Danio rerio: one gene and its partners. The protein of the gene in region 1 purifies or fractionates together with the protein of each later gene. This does not show direct contact. Links are inferred from orthologs where the notes say so. Each region holds a gene or a part of one and is shown in the gene's direction. Other genes may lie near its edges. The genes, in order: cherp, u2surp and rbm17.

Region 1 (4,511 bases):
TAGAGCAGTAATCATAATACTGTGAAACTTTACTTTACTTATTGTACACAAGTGGAAATTTATCTTTGGCTTCACCACACAACCACATCAGCATTCACACGACACACATCACAGAAAAAAACAGGCAACACAAATACATACAAAGTCATGACATATATCACATTAAAAACTCTATTTAAAACCCTTTACATACTTAGAACCCAGTATTTCAAGAGTTCGCCCTTAGCTGATGATTGATTATAGAGCATATTTGGCATGCTATCCCAGGATAGAGCCCTGAATTTGTGAGATCCTCGAGCCTGGGGCTCCCCCCGTTGCAGGGCGAGAGGGGAGTCTGAGTTCAGGCAGGTCTCGAGAACTCCCCAGCTTGATAATGTTGAAAGTAGATTAATGCATTGAAGTGTCTGCTGTCAATTTAGATTTGTCAGTTTACTTATGTTCCATGTTTTTGGTCTGTGGGAGGAAACCGGAGAGCCTGGTGAAAACCCACACAAACACGAGGAGAACATGCAAACTCTTTTTTTTGACAAAAAAGTCTTTTTGATGACAAGAACTGAATTTTTCTATTTAAGGAATGGGAACAATCCTCAATAAGGATGTGTGCTTTCTGTTTAATTGTTATTGAATAAATTTCATTTGGTTGTCTTTATGCTTTACCTACAGTTGCACTGGTAATTTTTTACTACTCTACAGTTTTTGCTTGTCCTTAATTGGCAACAGTCCATACCATGCAATCATGTTAAAACTCACAACACTTTCAACCAAGTTCTTGTATACCATCTCCAGAACATCTTGACTCTTTTTGAAATTTTTTGTACCATATTTTTTAAATCCCAGATGAGTAGCCAACCATGGTCACCACAGGATATCTAAAATATCTACACTTGTTTTTAAAATCAAATTGTATAAATATTAACTGTGCTTATCTTACCAAACATACTAGCAGCTACATCATTTTGTAAGCATCTTACAACTTATTCCACCTAACGGCACTTTTTCATTAGCATTAGCATATTTCGAGGCTAAACATCTTCAAAAAACTAAATTGCCTACAAAAATGTCTGTAGAACACGAAGATATACTAATGATTACTTACTGTTACGGTAATCAGCTTTCATATACATAATAAAGTGTCACAATGTCAAAAAAGAAGGGATAATTATCAAAAATCTTACAAATTTACGACCTCCCAACGGCAGTTGACGCTGTGACGAGACCTCTCTTCTTAAAGAGAGCGCATGCGCCTCCCACGCACCGGAGGAAGTAGTGAAGATTCTGTTTCCTCTCGCTTCATCTTGAACAGAAACACAACAAACCTATAGAGATGTGGTCGTAGATTTTTTAAAACTGGATATTTTTGTTTCGCGCTTCAGCGTGATGTCTTATAAGTGAATTCCTGGTCGTAATAGCCTGTATTGCTGAGAAATATGGATATTTCCACGCCTCCAGAAGGTAAAACTGCGCCTGCGCGTGTACTGCAGCGCGAACGCTAGCGAAGTCACATTATAATCAAACAGACACAAATAGACACAATTAGTGTATAAAATGAGGATTTAAACTTCTGCTTTGTTTATTTTTGACTGTTTAGTGTGGCTAGGATGGGAAACGAAGTACCCAAATATTCTACCACTGTATTAATTGAATGTACAACGTTTTTTTGCAATAATTGTCAATAGGATCAACGTTTTCAGCAAAAACATTGTATTTAGTAGTTAATTTAAATGAAAATTTCATTATTATCTAAGTTAAGTCTGAACAGATTGAAAGATAGCATCAATATTATATATTAAGTATATCTCATGATTAATTTGGTCACACTTTTTTTAAAGGTACAATTCTCGCTATTATCAAATAATTAACTAAGAATTCTAGCTCAATAAACTGCTAATTTGCTGTTCTTTTTTGCAGTTAGTCAGATAGTTTGGTTTAGGTATTGCATAGGATTAGGCATGTACAATATGGTCATACTTTATAAGTGATAAACAGCCAATGTTAAGCCAGTAGTTAATAGTGGGAATTGGTACTTAAATCGTTAGAGTTACGATTAATTTCAATATTATTATGTAAAATGTTTTTAAAATGTGAAAACTTAATTGTTTTCTATAAGTTTTAGCTCAATAAACTGCTAATTTGCAGTTTTTTTAGTTAGTAAGATAGTTTGGTTTAGTTATTGGATTGAATTAGGCATGTACAATATGGTCATGCCTTAAGTGATATACAGCCAATCTATAGTAATAAGCTAGTAGTTAAAAGCAGAAATTGGTACTTAAATTGTTAGCCTTAAGATTATTTTCAATGATATTATGTAAAATATTTAAAAAATGTAACTGCGAGTATGAAAACCAAATTATTTTTTCACAAATTTTAGCTCAATAAACTGCTCATTTGCTGTTTTTTGATAGTTAGTTGGATAGTTTGGTTTAGGCAGCCTATTGGGTAGGATTAGGCATGTACATAATGGTCATACGTTATAAGTGATAAACAGCCAATGTATAGTGGTGAGCTAGAAGTTAATAGCAGGAATTGGTACGTAAATTTTTAGAATTAAGATTGTTTTCTAAGAATTTTAGCTCAATAAACTGCTAATTTCCTGAGTTTTTTATAGTTAGTAAGATACTTTAGTTTAGGTAGGTTATTGGATAGGATTAGGCATCTACAATATGGTAATTTCTTATAAGTGATAAACAGCCAATGTGTGGTTATAAGCTACAAGTTAATAGCGGAAATTGGTACTTAAATTGTTAGCCTTACGATTATTTTCAATGATATTATGTAAAAAATGTAACTGTGAATTTGAAAATGTAATTGTTTTATTTTGATGTTTTTCTCTTTAATTTCCCCCCCATCAGATCAAGAGCTGCGCAATGTCATTGACAAACTGGCGCAGTTTGTCGCCAGAAATGGACCCGAATTTGAGAAGATGACCATGGAGAAGCAGAAGGACAACGCCAAGTTCTCGTTCCTGTTCGGAGGGGAATTTTTCGGCTACTACAAATATAAACTGGCCATCGAACAGCAGCAGCGTACGTGAAAGAACCGCAAGTCACATTTATTTACTAACTAGTGTTATTTTTAGTACAAGCTTTACGTAGGTGTATTTTTGCGATTTTTAAACTGGCTTGTTCCCATTGTAGTATTGAATATTATATTCATTTTTGAAAATGTTTGATATTTTATATATTTAAATATTGCTTACTTCCGTTTTAAAAATTCATATAACATTTGTTTGTTTGTTTCACTTTAAAGGAACTTTTTTTTGTTTGTTTTTGCTAACATTAATAACCTTGCTGCTAACCAAAGATCTAGATTTGTCTGACAGCTGTGTTCTGCATATGTTCGTGTTTAAGGTGTGCTTTTCTCCTTTATAGATTCTGGCACTCATGATGATGAATATAATATGGAAGGTATTTATTAGACCGATGTTCAGAAATGTTTCATTTTGCCTGGTATTCATGGAGTTCTTCTGCAACATCAGTGCTTAAAATCCTTATTTTGCTGTCAGATTATGTTATAAATGACATCTTTAAGTTAGCGTTCAACCTTTATAACTGGTTTAAATGCTATAAAACGGTTGCAAAAGCTTAACTGTTATTATTGCATTTATTTTGAGATTTAAAAGAAGCTTTCAAGCGAACTCTACTTTCTTGCACTGTTTTTTTTTTTTGCTACATAAACGATATGTAAGAATGTGCAGCTTTTTGTTTTGTACTTTCTGTTTGCAAATGTAAATATTATTGTTTAATATTTATTCAGCTTTTAAGGAAGCCACAAGCCAGCAGATTTTCTCTTTGGACTCTGGTTTCTTTTCCCCCGTAGCCTAAAATGTTTTTGCTTCCCGTTTGTTTGAGTTTTTTATGCTACAATCTCCAGACATGGAAAATCAGAGGAGAACAAACAAGCATGAGTGATTTTTCTGCATGTTTCTATGAACTTTTAATCTTGTTTCTGCCATGAATATTAATATAATTGTGACTTATCTCATTATTTGTTATATTTGCCTCACAGTTTGACCTTTTCACAGTTCTGTGTCTAGATTTAGCTTTTTTGACTATTGCTTGCAATTTTGTAAAAGTCTCCAAACCTTTTAGCTTATTGTTCGATTCTGAGTCTACATTTTGCATTTGCAACTTTTTGTCTTGCAAATAAAAGATTATCGGCTTCTATTTGAGCAAATCTGAGTCTACAACTTGCAATTGTTTACAATTCGTATTCTATATCGCGCTGTTCTGAGTCTGCATCTCTTGTGATTGAACATTTATAGATTTTCTTGCAATTTTAATTCGTATTGCACAATTTCAAGTCTACGTCTCGCAGTTGTGACTAATTCTTACTATAAAAGTTTACACTATTTTTTCCAATTTTTTATATTTTTCGCAAATCTTTTAATCTAGTCTACATCTTGCAGTTGTGACTATTACTTGCAATAAAAATTGTATAGATTTTTTTGTAATTCAGTCTCACATTTGTAATTATTTTCTAATCTATATTACACGATTCTGAGTCTGCATCTC
Region 2 (4,775 bases), on another chromosome or scaffold:
TTGTAACAAATAAAGTCTTCGTGTTAACATTAGAGAGTAGGCCTACTGCTTAAAACTGAATAAACAGAATTCCAGAATACATCTCGCTATCAACAAGAAGGATTTATCAGTCATTTCAACATGTTCATAACATGCTTCTCATTTGCTTAAATGCACTGAACATGAGGAGTGATCTCAAATCAGCTATTCAGCATAAACCCCATTTTTATAAAACTCATAAAAAACTGCATGGTTAGCAATATTCTAGCATATTTTATGTCTACCTTTTATCTATTCAGTGAAAAACAATACAACATGATATAGAATATCTGTTAGAAATGTTACAAAAAATATAGTTTTTTCATAAATATTAAAAAAAGAGTTGTCACCCTTTCAACTATGATTTAATAGTTCCTGCAACATTTCTTCAAAAGCTGCTTCTGCTTTTCCAATGTGTGAAATGTAGGAGTGATCTCTGATCAGCAATGTAATGCAAACTGGTTCATAAGTTGAATGATTCATGAAAGGCTACATTTTTATGCTGCTTATCAGTTTTTCTTACCTATATTTTTTATTAAGAAGAAATATCTAAAATAGGATAATAAAAAAGGAACCACAACTTTGGGTAAAGTATCTAACAATCATTACAACAGTATCTAATCATTACAACAAACATCACAAAATTGAAAGTACTACGCAAAACCATAGGAGATAAAACAACCACCACCTCGTTCCAACAAAAAACATTTAAGACAGGAGAACAGGTGGACATTGTTCTCTTAACGTTTAACATTAGACTACTTCAACACCTATCACTTCTTCCAAAATGTCTCTTTCACCCTTTGTCTTTTCAATTTATGTGTGAGCCATGTGTGCTCAACTATGTTTGCATGTACACATATAGGCCTATACATGCCTCATTACCACGCACACATAAACAGTCAGGGAAAAACTCACATTGAATACAAACATATTTATGAATCCATTTTAGCTGTAACTAAAAGTCCATTTTATTTTAACACATTTGGGTAAATTTGGCCGGTAACTAATTAATAGAGTTTGCATAAATTTACACAGTACTACCTGACTAAATATAGTTCACTTAAATATGATATATCATTTACTCGACCTTCACTTGTCACGAGCCTGTTTGAGTTTCTTTCTTCTGATAAACACAAACGAAGATATTTTGAAGCTAGTAGAACTGACTTTCATAGTAGGCTATTTGTTTAATTTCAGTGGATGTTAGTGGCTATCCAATGTTCTTCATTTTTTATTTTTTGTATAACCATTTAAGACCAACTGATGGGGAGTAAATATAAGTAAATGTTAATTTTTGGGTTAACTGTCAAATAAATTTAATGCAATGCCCAATGCAAAGTTTAAAACGTCATGCTGAGTCACCAGAGTCCTGCTTTATGCAGAACTGTATCTTACTGCATCCAAGTTAGAACTTAACACAACAATGGTTGGCAACAGTGGCAAAATGATGTAGGCTTGCCCATATACAGTATATTGTCTTCTTAACCTAGAAGTTAAAATCAGCTGAACACCAGTTTGAACAAGCTAAAACCAGTATCATAAGCATGCACAAAAACAATCCCTTAAAAATACATTCTGAAACTCAATGTCTTGTGCAACACAGTCTGTGCTCAGATTTGAGGACTAAAGTCACACACAAGATCGGCTTCTGATATAGATGTCAAATCGACTTGTTTTTTTTAGTGTGTGTGTGTGTGTGTGTGTGTGTGTGTGTGTGTGTGTGTGTATGTGAGTGAGTGAGTGAGTGAGTGAGAGAGAGAGAGAGAGAGAGAGAGAGAGAGAGAGAGAGAGAGAGAGAGAGAACGCGCCTCACGCGCTTTCACAGTGTCGGGCAAAATGGCGGACAAAACGCCAGGTGGGGCCCAGAAAGGCAACTCTAAGGTATTTTATCACTTTTACGTTTTATTCTAGCATATTAAAATCGATATTTTTGGTTTATGATACGAAACGCTCAATAATTATGTGATTGACTGAGTCGTGTGTTTTTCTGGCATTTGAGAAAGGTCCATTAAGCAGCTCAGTTGTGATGCTAACTCGCTAGCAGTGTTGTTAGCTAGACACCGGCGGTGCACAGATTTGATCTGCAATATACTAAAATATGTTTGGTACATATGCTACACTTAACTAAGCTTGTTTTTTGTTATTATACGTTTGAAGCCAACACAGAACATGAACGAAGTTGCTGTGTTTTTATTGTGTGATGACAATGCTAACACGGAACGTAGTGTTTATGAAGATTACAGTATTGTATTGATTTCTGAACGTTTTGAACACACATGTATCGTTAAATAGGAGATAAGAATTGTTGATGCTGTGTGGATATCAAATTCGCGAATTTGCATGTTTACATTTGTGCTAAGATGTCAGTTTTGCTTTGAAGAGCTAACTTAACGTTAACAAGTTTCGCTACATAGTGACCAATATTGCCAGTCACGTGAACGTGTCAAATACCCTGAGATACTGTAAATACACGTTTTTGTTGTCATTTATATTGTACTTTTAGTCGTAACAGTACTCATAAAAGACAATTCAGCTCATATTTTTTTTGATACTCTGATAAATTAATGTTTTCAATCTTGATGGCTGGTCATAGAAGTTAACCCTTATGTACTGTTGGGGGATTTTGAGTCTTAATTTGGCCATAAGTTTTTCTGTTTCAGCTAGCAGAATGATGTTTGGTGACAAATATTGTTTTGACACTTATTTTCAGAAAATTGACTACGCTTTTGTCATGTTTGCGATGAAAACATCCAATAAATTAAACTGCTGTAGAAATGCATTAGATAAGTCTTTTTAAAATGCTTTCGAAATTTGTTAAGCAACAGTCTTGATCAATACTACTAAATTGATTGGAATATTACATTTTTTTAACTCTTTAATTGCCAAATTCATAAATGATGTCACTGATTTGGTGAAAGAAACACACATAATGATGTATTTTCAATATGAAAAGTAATTGTGGACTTTTTTCAACCCTTTTATCAAATTCTTGGACATGTAAAACAACATTGCCTTTGATTCATTGATTTTAATTTTTTTTTCCTAATTTACTGTTTTTGCCCTATTGACTTACATTATAACCACATTTTTTTATTACAAAACCATAACACCATATAATCATGCATTTTTGATTATTGGTTGTTTTCCCTGTTAGGAAGAGACACTATTTGTAATTTTTACTGTTGATCATCATTTGGCACCAATAACCCTTTAGATAGGCCTGTGCAAAAAAAAGCTTAGTTTATGGGTTTTATATGGAGTATAACAGCAAATAAGGTGTGTGTTAGTGACGTTTGTACTTACCTTGATGTGTCTGAGAAAATCAAAATATGCATCTCTGAACTACATTGCTTAAATAAAAACAAAGTGTTTATGCTCCATCAAATTTGGTGATAATGGAAGTCAACGTGGCAAAAACAGCCACCAACGGTAAATTAGGGTGGAAAAATAAAAATCCAACCAGCTAATGTTAGTACTAATAGTTCACATGTTCAAGACTGTAATAAAAGGTAAAAGTTTATCCAGCTCACAACTACTTTTTTTATTATTTTTTTTTTATAGAAAATACGGCAATTTGCGTGTTTTTTTTCATCAGTGACCTCATTTGTGAACTTGGCATTTAAAGAGTTAAAATCCTGTAACTTTCAAAACAATTAAGTTGTTTTGAGCAGGACTGAGGTTGATTAATAGATTTATGCAAACTTTTAAAAATATTTTTTTTGATGCATTTTTACTGCAGTTTAGTTCAATGGACGTTTTATACCGAACATAACAAAGGGTAGTACATTTTGAACAGTGCACAAGGGTTGAACAAACCCTTAAATAAATACTTTTCACAATTTCTTGTTTTTCCTTTGTTTTAGGCACTATAGAAATGTATTAACATCTCTTTTTATAAGATTAGAAGTTAAAGATGTATCTTTAGACAAGTGATGTTATGCCTGTCAGTATATAATCCATTGTTTATATGTTTTTATGCAGGCTTTATTGGAAAGTAAGTTAAAGGCTTTCAGTATTGGCAAGATGGCAGTTGCAAAAAGAACACTAAGTAAAAAAGAGCAAGATGAAATCAAGAAGAAGGTAAGAAAAAGAGATCCAGTAAGGTCTTACCAGTCAAAATGTTAGCATGCACTTGTCAATGGCTTGTTATTCTCTGTAACCATTCGCTTTCATTGAAGTATCAAGTTATCAAATTATATTTCAGTACAGTTTAATTTGTCTTAAGTTTTCTAGTGATGATCTTCATGTTTCTTCTTATATTTGTTTAGTTTGGTTGAAATATTGAAAGGTATAGTGTGTTTTTTTTGCCATGCTTTAGTGTTTTAGAAGTCGTCATGGTGTTGGTTTACAATAAAAGAAAAACTTATTTTTTGCGTATGACCAATTTTGGTTTACCTAAATTTTTTGGTTGCTTAATATTGCAATAATAAAGAAATGTGATATGCAATATATATATATTTTTAAATGTTCTAACCTATATATCATTCATATTATTTACGTAAAAATAAAGCATCACTACAACTTCTGAAAGTGACCAAGCATGCTCTGCTGTTTCATAAAACAAAGCAGACATTTTAACAACTTAAACTAACAAATATTAATGTCATCACCACACTTATGTTTAGATGAACATAACTATATTACTAGTATAGTTGTATCATCCTGAAAACGTCAAGTTTGAACAATTGCGAAAACAAAAACACTTGAAGCAGAGTATAATTGCTGTTAACATTGTTTGCTTGGGTATATTTTAG
Region 3 (4,675 bases), on another chromosome or scaffold:
AAAAGTTGGTCATTCCAGAAAGAAGCAGGATTTTCAAGGTGCTGTTTAATTCAATCAGGCTAATTTTGCTTTTAGCTATAATTAAGAGGATCTCATGAAATTAATACTAATGTAGGCTAATGTTCTTTATTTTATCCATATTAAATCAAATAAAGCCGGATCAACTCTTTAGCAGAAAAAGCTTGCTTAATGTCAAAATCCTCCCTTTGAGAGATATGTGAAAATTTTGTTTATTTACTTAATTTGGGAATAGTTTTAGACTATCTGCAAATCTATTCTTCATATCAAATTATTGACTTTCTTGGATACCGTCTATACATTTTATTTTATTCTATTTGTAATTGGAAATACAAAATATAAATACAACAAAATTACATTAAACCCTACAAATTATGTATCAGATGCGGAAGGCTTAACACCAGAACGCCATATTAGGTCCAGAAAAAAGAATATACCAAAAAAAAAAAATAAAATACAAAGAGTGTAAACTTACAAAAATCATCCTAACTAAAAATGAACAAATGAACGAACAAAACAACAATATAGTACAGATATCATCTATACCAAGTTAAATAATATAAATAATTAAAAACATTTAAGGCGGTTTTTGTTTTCATTTTAGCCAGGACATCCAAAAATTGTTTAGTTCTTCTAAAAAACCAAAAGTAGTGGAGGGGTTTTGAAATATTTGCATTTATGAATATAATAGTTTTCTAATATAATAACAATATTTATCAATGATAATATAGTATTTGTGTAAAAAAGAACCATCTTTCATAATTTCACATCTCACATCAGTACATCTTGTAATGTGGTAGTCAAACCTTCAGCATCCACATTCTTGCATTTAATTATCTTTTTTATTGAACATTCAACAAGAATACAAAAATATACAGAAAAGGTATCAATTCTTTAACAACAAAAATAGACAACAGAACAAAACAAAAAGAGAAACAAAAGATTCTGCCAGGGGTAATATAAACAACAAAAATCTATCTTAAAGCAAGGTCACAGTGATGTATAAAAGGTCACATACAATACAGTCTGCTGGGTATTATAGAAAAGAGACAATACTGTAAGATTCACATAGTGTTATTAATTTTAAAGCTTTAACATTGCTGGAAGTAGAGATTGTATTCAAATAATACTTCAAATCTTTACAAAAAATAAGAAAAAACATTTGCACTTGTGTATGAAAAGATTTGCTAGTGAAAGAAATAGATTTATTAGAAAATCTTTATTTTTATTTATTTATTTTTTATTGAATACAAGAATAATAACATTGAAGAAAAAAATACAATAGCAAAAAAAGAAATGAGAAATAAGAAAAAAAAAACTTTACAAAGCCTCGATCATTAAGAAAAAATATAAACTTTAAGAATTTTTCAAGTAATAACCATGCTCTCTTCCATTGAATGCAGTCAGAAAAATTGATTTAGAAAACTGTACATCTTGGGGAGGTATATAGCCTACAGAGTTATGTAACAATCGTCTGACATGTCTGTTGGCACAATTTTTTTTTTTTTTTTTTTTTTGATAAAAAAAAGACACTCCGTCCAAAAAATGTTTAGGCATAATTGTTTTCCTCTCATTAAAGTAAAGAAACATTATTAGAAAATCTTAAATACTTTGATATCGCTGCCATTCTGACGTGAATACCTTTGGCTATGCGTAGTGTGACGTCATATGTTCGCGACGTCTCCATTGTAGCATGTTACGCTAACCAAGAGTGCATAACTTGTAGAGGATTTATTTTCGTGAAAGGTGTGTATCTTATGTCAAATATTCAACTATTAAAGTGTATGCGCTGTTACAAGATGAGGCAGCAACCATTTGTTTATTAAAAGCAGTAAATATTGCTAGCGGTCTACGTTATATGTGAATGCTAAACGTAGCTCATACATATTACTTATTATAAGGACCATTATTAATCCTATATAGCTTATTTAAAGTTAAATGTTTGTTTTCTGTTTTTTATGTCTAATCTATAGTTTATGTGATAATCTAGCATTTTCTGTTCTAGCTTTTATAACATGGTTGGCTGATTACTGTTTGGATTACGTTTATGATGCATGTATTATTATGATTTTCAGTGTTTTTAGTGGAAAGGAGGAGAAATGTCTTTATATGATGATTTGGGGGTCGCAACGAGCGACGCAAAAACAGAAGGATGGTCTAAAAACTTCAAACTGCTTCAGTCTCAACTGAAAGTGAAGAAAGCTGCACTGACACAAGCAAAGGTTGGTCAATGTTTAATTCTTGATAAAACTGTTTTATTAGTAAATATTTTTATTAATAAATGAAAAATGTATGTATTAATTGCAACTACATTAAATCTGAATATATCAGGGAATTTGAAATTAGTTAGTTATTTAGGTATTTTAGTCTGTGTCAATGATTTTGTTTACAGTTGTGAATTGAGAGAAAGTTGGTTTTATATTCACACATTCAGACTTTCTTAATAATATAATTTCAGAAAAGCATTCTTTGCTAATTCTAAATGGTGAAATCATATTAGCAGCCAGTGACTATCAAAGTACAACATCGTTCAGAGTCAAATAAGCGGTGCTAATGTTATTTTTGAATCATACTTACATGTGATTCCAGACCAAATATTTAAAGTGCCATGGTAAACTAAATAAGGAGCATTCTCATAAGTAGTTAATGGATCATAAATCTTATGGTACGGATCAAACTAAACTTAGAACCTGTAATTGCAATAAAAATACAATTCAAGAAAGAAATATCTGAAAAAAAGGAAAATATTTAATAAAATGATCTGATAATGCTAAATATAGAAATCAACATCTTGTACAACATATCGCATTTACAACGTATGGTAATTAATGATTCAACAATTCACATGTAAAACTTCATGTTTGGTTATAAGTGCATCATTTTTGAAACCCTATATTCAGTGACATAATTTTGATGGTTGTTTGTCGTTACACAATGTAATTGCTACAACATTCACCAGTGCCAAGTTCCATTGAATGGTGATTTAAATCTTTACCAGAAACATCGGTGTTTATGTCTGTACTAGAAACTGTTCTCCCAGCACTTCTGTGTTATTAAATTGTTTGTAACTAGTTGAAAAAGTGTAAAAACTGATTCTCTCTGATCTGATCAAACACAGATTTTAATGCAACGCTTCGAAGGATTAATGAACATATGCAGATCATTATCATTTAATATTCATGTTGCGCGGGTTTGAATTGAGGTCACGATCTTTTAATGTTGAATTGTGCAGCTTTACACTGAATGCTTTAATGCAGGCTAAACAAATAGTGACAGAAAACACTTCTTAAGAAACTAACACTAACCTAAGAAAACATTTAGTCCCACCACTTGTTCCGTCATCACTATATTTTACAGGGAACCCAAAATGCTTTCATACACGTGATTTGAATGTTACGGGAGGCAATCTCTCTGCAATTGTTATAAATATTGGATTAACCTACAAGTTTAAAAAAGTTATTAATCTGTGGGTCATGTGCATACCGTACTGTGGGTTGTGATCCGTAAGGATCCGTTACACCCCTTGTCACAAGTCATCACTGAACGAGTGAGTATGAAACCAACTTTACCTCTATACAGTTGTGTATGTAATTGTAAATCCTTGTTTCTTAATGATCTTTTTTGTCTGTTTATTTTACTGTTATCATTTTCTCATTTCCAAATCAAACTGCACCAAATTGGGTAAAATGTGTCATTTAAAATTTTAAAGTTCAAAATTCCACTCACATTTCTCTTTATAAATTTGTTTTAAACTAGGTGAAATAAAACAGGACAAAATAAATCACAAAAATGTTCCCATTGAAACTCATTTAAACTTTACAATTATATCCCTTTGACATTTAAGCAAAATGTCATACATTCTTTGTTTCATATTTTGACTTCAAAATTCTAAACATTTATTTAAATATATTTAAAAATATATTTTGCTATTTAATTAAATAATTTTAAAAAATTAAGATGTATAGTATTTTGCACATATTTTGGCATATTTTTCAGCTTTGAAGCTTTCTTACTTTCTTTCTTTCTTTTTTTCCTTATTTGTTTCTTTCTCTTTCAGCTTTGTTGAGTAAACGAAATTACAATTATGTGATTATATTCGTGTGGATATGTTTGTATTGTGTTTTTTTTTTACCTTATAATGTTACAAATATATTTTAAAAGGAATCATGAAATTGATTTATGATTTATGAAATGTTTGAACAGTTAGCATTTTATTTGACTGATAGTTTTGTCATCTAATGACATGTTTACTTTTTGTTTTAATTTCTGCACAAGGATTAATTAAGACAAGTGAAACCAATAGGTGTTATAACCGAAAAGTTTTATTGACAAATGACTTGTTTTGCAGACCCAGAGGACGAGACAGTCCAATGTTCTTGCTCCAGTTATTGATCTGAAGAGGGGAAGTGGAGGGGATGACAGACAGATCTCTGATACTCCTCCGCACATTGCTGCAGGGATGAAGGTAAACCGTGTCTAGATCCTATTTAGGAAAAATAGAGTATATAAAAATAAGTATAAGTAGTAGTAAGATTGCTACTAATTAAAATTATTTAAAAAATCTAATATTACTATGGGAAAGCATTTAAGCAGAATTTAATAATGACGACAGTAATCAATGCATTACATGAAATAAATTAAATCACACTGGTTTTAA

Evidence for each region.
Region 2: the proteins of cherp (region 1) and u2surp purify together in Homo sapiens (affinity purification with mass spectrometry; 4 studies listed by BioGRID and IntAct, with this or other methods). This does not show direct contact. The link is inferred for Danio rerio from reciprocal best matches to the Homo sapiens genes CHERP and U2SURP.
Region 3: the proteins of cherp (region 1) and rbm17 purify together in Homo sapiens (co-immunoprecipitation; 4 studies listed by BioGRID and IntAct, counting the BioPlex papers as one, with this or other methods). This does not show direct contact. The link is inferred for Danio rerio from reciprocal best matches to the Homo sapiens genes CHERP and RBM17.

Annotation. Positions count from the first base shown.
Region 1 is NC_133197.1:5,172,980-5,177,490, reverse strand, and holds the start of cherp (calcium homeostasis endoplasmic reticulum protein), read left to right. Parts: upstream 1-1,249; 5' UTR 1,250-1,427; coding exon 1,428-1,452; intron 1,453-2,849; coding exon 2,850-3,023; intron 3,024-3,368; coding exon 3,369-3,404; intron 3,405-4,511. UniProt on the Homo sapiens protein: Involved in calcium homeostasis, growth and proliferation.
Region 2 is NC_133177.1:29,978,914-29,983,688, reverse strand, and holds the start of u2surp (U2 snRNP-associated SURP motif-containing protein), read left to right. Parts: upstream 1-1,825; 5' UTR 1,826-1,857; coding exon 1,858-1,902; intron 1,903-4,002; coding exon 4,003-4,101; intron 4,102-4,775.
Region 3 is NC_133179.1:26,166,280-26,170,954, reverse strand, and holds the start of rbm17 (splicing factor 45), read left to right. Parts: upstream 1-1,680; 5' UTR 1,681-1,764; intron 1,765-2,093; 5' UTR 2,094-2,117; coding exon 2,118-2,240; intron 2,241-4,366; coding exon 4,367-4,483; intron 4,484-4,675. UniProt on the Homo sapiens protein: Splice factor that binds to the single-stranded 3'AG at the exon/intron border and promotes its utilization in the second catalytic step. Involved in the regulation of alternative splicing and the utilization of cryptic splice sites.